2 linked regions of the Drosophila melanogaster genome follow. The protein of the gene in region 2 interacts with the protein of the main gene of each other region in a pairwise test. Each region holds a gene or a part of one and is shown on either strand. Other genes may lie near its edges.

The links. The genes of interacting proteins can lie anywhere in the genome.
Region 1: the proteins of Vm32E (region 2) and RpS5a interact in a two-hybrid assay, tested with the Drosophila melanogaster proteins (one large-scale study listed by BioGRID).

The regions. Positions count from the first base shown.
Region 1 is NC_004354.4:17,143,041-17,149,809, forward strand, and holds RpS5a (ribosomal protein S5a), read right to left. Parts: upstream 5,225-6,769; 5' UTR 5,164-5,224; exon of another isoform or gene 4,648-5,163; intron 4,167-4,647; exon of another isoform or gene 4,161-4,166; 5' UTR 4,160-4,160; coding exon 3,758-4,159; intron 3,720-3,757; exon of another isoform or gene 3,572-3,719; intron 3,506-3,571; exon of another isoform or gene 3,361-3,505; intron 3,351-3,360; exon of another isoform or gene 3,208-3,350; intron 3,176-3,207; exon of another isoform or gene 3,034-3,175; intron 3,002-3,033; exon of another isoform or gene 2,863-3,001; intron 2,841-2,862; exon of another isoform or gene 2,690-2,840; intron 2,656-2,689; exon of another isoform or gene 2,517-2,655; intron 2,495-2,516; exon of another isoform or gene 2,344-2,494; intron 2,310-2,343; exon of another isoform or gene 2,170-2,309; intron 2,093-2,169; coding exon 1,976-2,092; intron 1,931-1,975; exon of another isoform or gene 1,791-1,930; intron 1,677-1,790; coding exon 1,578-1,676; intron 1,535-1,577; exon of another isoform or gene 1,395-1,534; intron 1,381-1,394; exon of another isoform or gene 1,243-1,380; intron 1,201-1,242; exon of another isoform or gene 1,067-1,200; intron 1,029-1,066; exon of another isoform or gene 894-1,028; intron 732-893; and 3 more. Other genes in the region: Chchd2 (Coiled-coil-helix-coiled-coil-helix domain containing 2), read left to right, coding at 6,097-6,143.
Region 2 is NT_033779.5:11,170,598-11,173,519, forward strand, and holds Vm32E (vitelline membrane 32E), read right to left. Parts: upstream 1,069-2,922; 5' UTR 1,038-1,068; coding exon 687-1,037; 3' UTR 570-686; downstream 1-569. UniProt on the Drosophila melanogaster protein: Major early eggshell protein.

The sequences.
Region 1 (6,769 bases), on a different chromosome or scaffold from region 2:
AGATTTTAAATGTCGTTAAATGACTAATGACTAGCCTCCTACAATAAATGGATCTTTTGTTGCTTTGGCATAGAGTTCTTCAAAAGCGAAGAATAGAATATATAAATGTAGAATTTAAGGGCTTAAAACAATCGGAGTATTGTAAACTGTTGCCAGCTTTCCAATACATTTATTTTAGAAAAGTGATGCCAGATCGATGGAGTATCGCAACTATCTATAGATTTTATACACTAAAAAAACCGTATTTTAGTGATCTATCGTGAGTAGTTAGAGAAATATCTATGAAAGAAATTGTATCAATATCGATAAAAAAAACTTTTTAAAGTTTCAATTTGTTTAAACCATGTAATTTACTTTAATTTTTTAGCTAAATTTCATTTCAATATTTTTAGCTATTCCAAGCAAGACAATTTCACGTTTTACTCACGCTTAACCTCACATATTTCTGACACCAGCAGCCCGATAGAAAATAGCTAAAATATCCGTTCTTCTCTGACAACCAAGTTTATTATAAACTAAAAACTATAAAAAAAGAATGGTCTGAAGTGAATTTTTCATCTTGTTGTTTATTTTAGTTTTAGTGTATCATTTCTCAGTGTACACACGTTATTTGTATAAAAAAAAACAGACAGAAGTTTGTTTTTGCTGGTGATGATGTCTCCTTAACGGTTGGACTTGGCGACACGCTCCAACTCATCCTTCTTCTTGATGGCGTACGAGTTGGAAGATCCCTGGAAATACATTTAAACACAAGTTATTAGTATTGGCTATCAATGTTTTTCTAGATCTTTTATATGTTAATTGCGCTGTTATGTTACTGTTACTGCATTGTATGGATTCATCGCTTCTAAATAAATAAATATAAAAAAACAAGTCCCTAACTTATTTAAAGCTAGTGTTCCTTTACGTTTCTCATGTGCATTGAACTAAGCAATATTACAAGCACAAGGATAATAAAGGATGGAAATTAATCTGGTCCAAAAGCGAGACTACATAATTAAACCACCATGCAGAATTAGATTGGACCTATTATTAAGCTCTATATACCAACTCTTAAATAGTTTGCTAATGTTCTTTTACGTTTCTCGTGTGCATTAGACTGATATTGTCACAAGCACAAGGATAATAAAGGATGGTGATTGTTCTGGTCCAAAAGCGAGACTACATAATTAAACCACTATGCAGAATTAGATTGGACCCCCGCTATCCTAATCGAATCAGTTCCTAAATGCTAATTCATAAAAGTGTTCTTTTACGTTTCTCGTGTGCATAGGACAGTTAAGTGGTCACTAGCACAAGGATAATAAGAGATTTGGAGTTTGATCTGGTCCAAAAGCGAGACTACATAAATAAACCATGATGCAGAATTAGATTGGACTAGTTGAAATGACTAGCTGTGTCACTAGAAGGAAGAAAAGAGCTATTTCGAAGCTCAATTCTTGGGTTAATCCGAGTGCCGAACGTGGTTCTCGATCTGGTCTACAAGCGAGGCCAGGCATTTTGGTAGTACAATGCCAAGCATTAGAGTAGACCACCCCATTCCCACTTTGATCTCGCCACAAGCCCAATTTACCCACCTTAGCAGCGTTGATCAGCTCATCAGCCAGGCACTCGGCGATGGTCTTGATGTTCCTGAAGGCAGCCTCACGAGCTCCAGTGCACAGCAGCCAGATAGCCTAAAGGAAATATACGGAAAAAAATTAATTAAGTAACTTTATGAACGCAATCACAGCAGCGTAAGAATTTGGGGTTCTTATCGTTAGTAAAATGAAAGTGTGTTATGCAATTGATAATGTCTCTTCGTTTCATACGCCAAATGTCGGCTATACTACACATTATGACGCTACGGATATTAGATAGATTTTCGTTCTGGCCAAGTGTTATAAGCAAGCAGTCTCTAAACGAACCACAAGCCATTGCTACCGGCCACCGTGAGCACATGCATCTGGAAGGCAAATCTTCAGAAGAAACCCACCTGGTTGACGCGACGCAGGGGCGACACATCGACGGCCTGGCGACGGACGGTACCGGCACGTCCAATACGGGTGGAGTCCTCACGGGGTCCCGAGTTGATGATGGCGCTGACCAGGATCTGCAAAGAGGTCACAAAAAAAAATCGAAATGAGTAAGCTATCACTTGATCCACTCGAAGCACCAAAGTAGAATTTTTGCTGTTGATTTATTGCTTTATTAAGGTTGCATTTTTGAGGCCATGCCCTTAAGAGGAATAGCTAATCATGGGGTTTATTGTGGTCCAATTGAATACCACAACGCTGTAGGGATCAACGCTGCAGTTTTAGTTTTGGACGGATAATGATACCCTTGGTGAATAATGCTTAACTTTAGTGTTGTTTTAATTTCCAGGAGAGCAGGAAGTGGCTTATATCTTCAGGCACAAGGATAGTTAAAACAATTTCAATTGATATTAGTCCATTTTTGGTTATGCTCAGTATGGCATCGTATTTTTAAGCCATCTGGCATTGAGGTGGACTGACACGCGGTTTCTGAGAATAGGTTTTTGTTGATTTATGCTTTATTAAGGTTGCATTTTTGAGGCCATGCCCTTAAGAGGAATAGCTAATCATGGGGTTTATTATGGTCCAGTTGAATACCACAACCCTGTAAGGATCAACGCTGCAGTTTTAGTTTTGGACGGATAATGATACCCTTGGTGAATAATGCTTAACTTTAGTGTTGTTTTAATTTCCAGGAGAGCAGGAAGTGGCTTATATCTTCAAGCACAAGGATAGTTAAAACAATTTCAATTGATATTAGTCCATTTTTGGTTATGCTCAGTATGGCATCGTATTTTTAAGCCATCTGGCATTGAGGTGGACTGACACGCGGTTTCTGAGAATAGGATTTTGTTGATTTATGCTTTATTAAGATTGCATTTTTGAGGCCATGCCCTTAAGAGGAATAGCTAACCATGGGATTTCCTGTGGTCCAATTGAATGCCACAACGCTGCAGAGATCAACGCTGCAGTTTTAGTTTTGGACGGACACTGATCTCTGTAATGAATGCTTTCTTTCTAATGTAGTCTTAAATTCCAGGAGAGCGGGAAGTGGCTTAATCTTCAAGCACTAGGATAATTAACACTTATTCCTCTGAGTCTATTTAATATATGCCTTAGCTGGGATGGAATTTCCTTCAACTAGCATTGAGGTAGACTCATTGTGAAAGATCCACTAATATGCTATTGTCTTAAATGTCGAATTAAGTTCCAGGAGAGCGGGAAGTGGTTTTATCTTCAAGCACAAGGATAGTTAATACCTTTTCCTATGAGTCCATTAAGAGTTATGCTCAGTTCGGCTGAAAATTACCATCAACTGGCATTGAGGAGGACTCCTCTATAATACTATTGTAGCTTTAAGTTCCAGGAGAACCAGAATTTGCTTTCTATTCTAGCACTAGGATAATTAAATCTTTGGTTCACTATTAGTCCCTTTGAGAGTTATGCTTCGGAAAGTATGTAGAACATAGCCAGCATTGAGGAGGACTAGAAATCAGTGAAGATTCCCTTTAAATCAGTTTAAACCAAGGTACCGCATATGCTTTATAATGGTTTTGTAATGTGGTTTTAAGTTCCCGGAGAACAAGAAGAGGCTTTGATATCTTCAAGCACTAGGACATTAAAACCTTGTGTTCGCTCTGCGTGCCCATTCTACCCATGACCGAGTGGCAACGTTCTCTGGCCACAGTTTAGCATGGGACGCGGTGGAATTGGGAACATTTGGACGGGATGGGCATGTTTACCTGCAGAGGGTTCTCCCCGGTGAGCAGATGAATGATCTCGAACGAGTGCTTGACGATGCGGCAGGCCATCAGCTTCTTGCCGTTGTTGCGACCCTTCATCATCAGGGAGCAGGTCAAACGCTCCACAATGGGGCACTGGGCCTTGCGGAAACGCTTGGCGGCATAACGTCCGGCGGAATGGGGAAGATAGCGGGCAAACTTCTCCTTCACCGAGATGTAATCCTGCAGAGAGATGTCGTTAACGGTGACATCGTCGCAAGACCAGCGGCCGAACAGCTTGATCTCCGGCAGCTCAGTGGTGGACACCACATTTGTCTCCAGGATCGTCTCGGCCACCTCGGCTTCCATAGGTGCCGCTGGCTCCTCGAAGGTCTCCACCACGTTTTCAGCAACTTCGGCCATGCTGCAATAGTTTTTGGAAGGCAAATAAGTTAGTCACGTGTCTGCAAATCGGTATTGGTAATTCTACTGTGGGATGGGATACTTGAGGGCTTTGCGATCTATTACTATCACAGACATTCATTAATGGTTGGTTAATGGTATTTGTTCGTTGATTTTAATAAGCTAACTTCTATTATTGAACATCATTGTATGGCTTGAACATCACCTAGAAGTTTTACAGAAACGTGTTTTTCAGTATTTGTTTATGGAAACATCGTCCCTTTTGTACAAATTTTATACACATACAAATTGTTTATAACTTTAACTAGATTTCGTTTGAAAAATTCTTTTACAAATACAAAACCCAAGAAAAGGCTGTGATAAACTGATACGAATAATTTTTAGAGCCTTAACATTCGTTTTTAAATCTTAAAAACGTCTTAAAACAAAAATAAACTACAAAAAAAGTTCCAAGGTTTATGAAAGACGGAAGTTTCAGTGAAGATTACGTTTAAGTATACAAAAAGGGTCACAATAACTTTTAAATACATATTTAAGTAGTTTTCCTGCGTTAACACGTTTTTTTTAAACTGTAGATGGGCGCTATACGCACACACACACACGCATAAGCACCGTAAAAAACACACGCGCGTTGTTGTTGTTGAATTGCGAGTTTTTAAGGGTTTATACTTTCTTGAAGGTTATCCTTTTGGATAATTGGCTCAATATACGTGGATGTATATTGTATTAAACATATTCTTGCGCTGCAAGCAGATAAAAAAAATATACAAAAAAAAAGGGGAAACAAACACGTGTGACGCACACACACAGTTGCACTCGCGCGCACACACACAAACAAAAAGCCGCCCGTTTTTAACCTCATTTCGGTGGAAATGGCAATATTCCGCAGTTTGCCGCAGTAAATTCACAAAACCCTTAGTATCCACACTAGTTGCCAGCGTTTAGCCGTCTTTTGGCCATCCTCTGGCCACAATCCACACAATTAAACGTTGAAAATCCCTTACTTTGTCACAGAAGAAATCGAGATACGATGTCAGCGCAAAGGCAAACGCCTGAAAAAGAACATGTTACGGCAGTGTGCAGCAACGCCAGAGAGTCCGCTTCCGCCGACACGCACACGGTTGCATTCCGGCTGCCAGGGCTGCGCAACAAGTGAACTATCGAACGGAGATAGGCGGCCATGAGTGGGGATTATTCCTCGACTTAATCACTTTTTCGAACGCGTTTGCTACTTGAGTTGCACATTTATATGTACTTCATAGAAATATACCCTGCTTTCAGGCATACTATTAGTTTTAAGCCACTTTTTTAATGACAAATTTCGAACTTTCTATCGATATGCGGCATTTCGCGGTTTTGCCAGTCACAACGGGTGGCGATAGTTGAAATTCGCATGCCAAATTTTCTTTATTACGGTCACCTTATAGAAATTTTGATATGCTTGAGTATTAAATGTTATTATTTCACTGACTGTAAAATAAAAAGTTATTTAAATCGTAATGCATATATATTTATAACATATAGTTCTTTATTTGATTTTGTAAGTGGAAAAAAATATGTGGTATGTAAAGATTATATATATGGGATATATAAAATACACAAAAATTTTACTATATTACATAGTAAATTTAAGGGTGGTAAAACGTTTTTACACGAATACAATATCCAAATACTTTAGTAAAATATATTTTTAATCATAAGAATTTACCCATATTATTAACTTTTCTGGCACATTCTATATCCGATAGTTTACACCTTATGCCTTAGTATTTTTCGGTATTTTCTCCGGCCACACTGGCAGCAGGCCGAAGTTTCTCGTCCAATTGGGATTATTTCGGAATTTCAGTTACTAGCTCGTCATCAAAACAGCAACAACTGTTGAGAATAAAATTCTTGCGTGAAACCGAATCAATAGAAAAACAAATAAAACAAACAAAATGGTTCGCCGTGGACGTTCAGCCAGTCCCCCGCCCTCCACTCGTCGGTAAGACAGTCGCGAAAAACAAAGAAAATTCGGGGGAAATTGGATAAAGCGCCGGCAGGAAATTCATTTCGTAATCACCGACCAATCAATCGGATGATCTGGCTTTATCTCATGGACAGAATTTCACTTCCGCCGCTTTTTCCGGCCCCCGAAATGGGTTAAGGTTACGTAACCTTAAAAATAAGAGGATTCCCAATAACATGGGATGTTTTATTGGTGCTGTCCTCCTAGCGGAAGACCCGCTAAATCTGGCTACTTATTCAATTACGAAAGTGCTCATAAAATCCATTTTTGTAAGAAATTTACTAAATTTATTGTTCTATGTAAATATATATATATATCCCAGGCCATTGATTTATTAAATTAAAAACATCACATGTTTTTATTTTGCGTTAAAAAAGTAAAATATTCAAATGTTTATACAATTTGGCTTATTATAAAGAAAACAAGAATTTGCATAGGAATATAAAAATATTACCTACTTTTGCAGTAGATATAAAATAAAGTCCTTTAAAAATCCTAGGAATTAGTTAAATTTGTATAGTTCATTGTTTTCAACACAAAGACCCTTCAATTTCGTCACGGAATGATCAACGACACTCCAGAGCAAAGTCCACAATAACAAC
Region 2 (2,922 bases):
TTGCCGTTATGGCCACTAATCGTTAAATGGCCAAGAGCCCCGCACACACACACACACACACAGGCACACAGACACAATTGCTCATCGAATTGGGTCACAAATGTGGCTATGGGACTTAGAGTCCGTCACATGGCAGCGATTTGAACGAACGCAACGCCATCCTGCTGGAATCTATATGCTTGATGGGATTTATGTTCCGAGGGCGTGATCCACTTGGGCAAAGCAATGTGGAGCAGTTTCAAGCGGTTCGCGGTGGAGACGTCTGAATATGCGACCGACCGCACAAGACAGCAATTTCGACTGACAATATATTTGGCACCCGCGCCGCATCCATTGACAAAAATGCCCGCGAGAGAAACCAACGGAGACGATCTCGTGAGAATCATCTAGTAATGGGAAATTCAAGAGGTGAATCGCTCGGAAAATGGCTTGCAATAATCCGTTTTAGGACGGCTGCAGTTAGAATATATAAATACAGACGACACATGTTCTTTATGGCTTTCGAAAAGGAATCGGAGGGCAGAGGGCACAAAACAACAAAAAATAAGTTTTAAATCATTTTTTTTTTTGTTACCAGTTTTCCTTATCTCCAATCCCAATTTTTTTTTGTTCCATAGTATAAAGTCCAATTAAAGCATAGACGGATTTAATTCGAAAACATTCTTCACATGAATTTTTTTTTGCCACTAGTACTGTTGACCCTGGATTCCTTGGCCCAAGCCGCGCAGTTCCTCCATCAAAGCCGCCATTCCAATGCGCTGGTGAAATTGCTGCAACTGCTCTCGGTTGGGACTTCCCACGTAGTGGGGCACCTGTTCTGTGTAGGCGCCGGCGGATCCATAGGCTGGGGCCTCCTGGGCACAAGGAGCTGGGGCCAAATTGGGCTGGCAGCTGAACAGGTAGTTGGTGGGGCATGGTGGAGCCGGGTAGCCAGAAGAAGCAGCGGGCGCTGAATAAGCTGGAGCTGGAGCTGCATACGGGCAGGAGGCACCGGCAATGGCCACAAACGCAACGAGGGTGAGAGCAACGATCTGCATGATGAACTAAGTGATTTACAACTGTCGATTTAGTGACCAATGGTGGCATTCTTATAGCATTCATGCGTTGACTTTAATAACAAAACTCGGCACTTTTACCGTAGGCTTTAAGAAATGCAGTGCCATCACATAGCAAGCAATTTAAACGGGTCGCAAACTAGAAACAAGCAGACGATTATCACCTAATGTGGCAAAAAATTACTGTCACCATGCAGTCTGTCTCCCTTTTTGCAGAGCTTAATAGCAGAGCAATTAAATTATTGCGTCCAAAGTGCAAATCGAATGTGAATTTGCTCATTTTTTGGACCTCAGCTGTTTATTGACCCAATTTCCCAAGTACGATATTTAAGTATTACTTAAACGGCTGCCAATTTTTACAAGTTAATAAAACGTATGTAACATTTAATCTGCTAATAAATACTTCGCTTTTAAAAATGGTTATCCTAAAAATTAAATAAAGAAGTCATTTTATCTTATCGTATGTAGTAGAGCGACCCCTAGCGGGTACACTCAGAACAGATCAGGTCTCCTTAGCGAGTACACAAACCACAATCTAGATTTCGCCTTGGAGACTAGTTTATCGTATTTCAAGAGTTTTGCCTTCAAACACATAATTTCATGTTACGATAAAAAAATGTTTATAAAGTTTTCAGTTTATTTATAAAGTCAGAACATAAAAATATAAATTTACACAATTTGCAAATATTCTAATTGATTAAGTTTTCTTTTTATTATATTCGGCATATAGAGATCTTTTTGCCAACCTATCTGTTTCAGTTTCTTTTACGATAATTTAGCAATAAATGGAAATTTGTATTGAAAATTTATGTCATCTTTTAGTCATAACTCGATTTGACCTGCGTCCATTTATTATGGAAATCCTAATTGACCAAAACGAAACAGTCATAAACTTGAATGTAGAGTGCATAAATTGCAACCCGTTTTTTGAATGATATTCTATGCAAATAAGAAACATAGTTTCCTGGAAGGTTGGTAAGAAAATAATGCTTAAAAAGATCTATTTGCATAATTGGTTTAATTCGTAAGAGCAGCAAGTAAAACAGCTATGTGTGTACTAGCCCATTCTTTTCTAAGCTTAAGATGTAATATTTATAATTATGATTGATGACTATTCGATTTGGAACCTGTGTCTCGTTCAATAATTCCTTCTCTAATTGTGGCTTTAGTTATACAATTTGCTGATGATAACAAACAGTTTCTCATGCAACTGTCTGTCCAAAACGAAAGCCCCCCTCAAGTTGATATTGTTTTTGAATCTAACTTTGGCCGCAGGTAACTTTCCCCGCCGAAAAGCGAAGAGGGGTGTATACTTTAATTTGAGAAGGATCGCGACCGCTGGATTTTGGGTCGGGCAATTACGCACATGCACCATATAAAGCACACCACATACGTACATACATACATACATACATATGTATAAGATCGGACCTAAATTTTAATCATAGGCTTTGTGCCGATCGCCTGCCGCTGGCCTTCAAAGTGGGGCACCTTCGTTTCGAAGTGGATCCATCGAAATTTTCGGGTGTAGAGCCGTTTTGATTGCCCCCTCTAACGGTAAACAAATACCTGCCCTTGTTTTCGGTGTGCGTACGTGTGTGTATGTGTGTGTGTGTGTGCGATCCAGACATGGCCCCAAGATATACATCTTAACTGGAACTCCAATTGCAGGTAGTCCAGGGTGGGGTAATATTATATAGAATAATGGCCTTGGGACATACACCATCTTAGGTGGATTTTAATTGGTTATTGGTTCAGCAACTGATCAATGAATATTTAAGACTTAGCCTTTGTTTTATTGACTAAGCATACAATCCGTAGGCCTTCACTTCTCAAATATTTTATGGCCTTCTTTCTACTCCTTTGT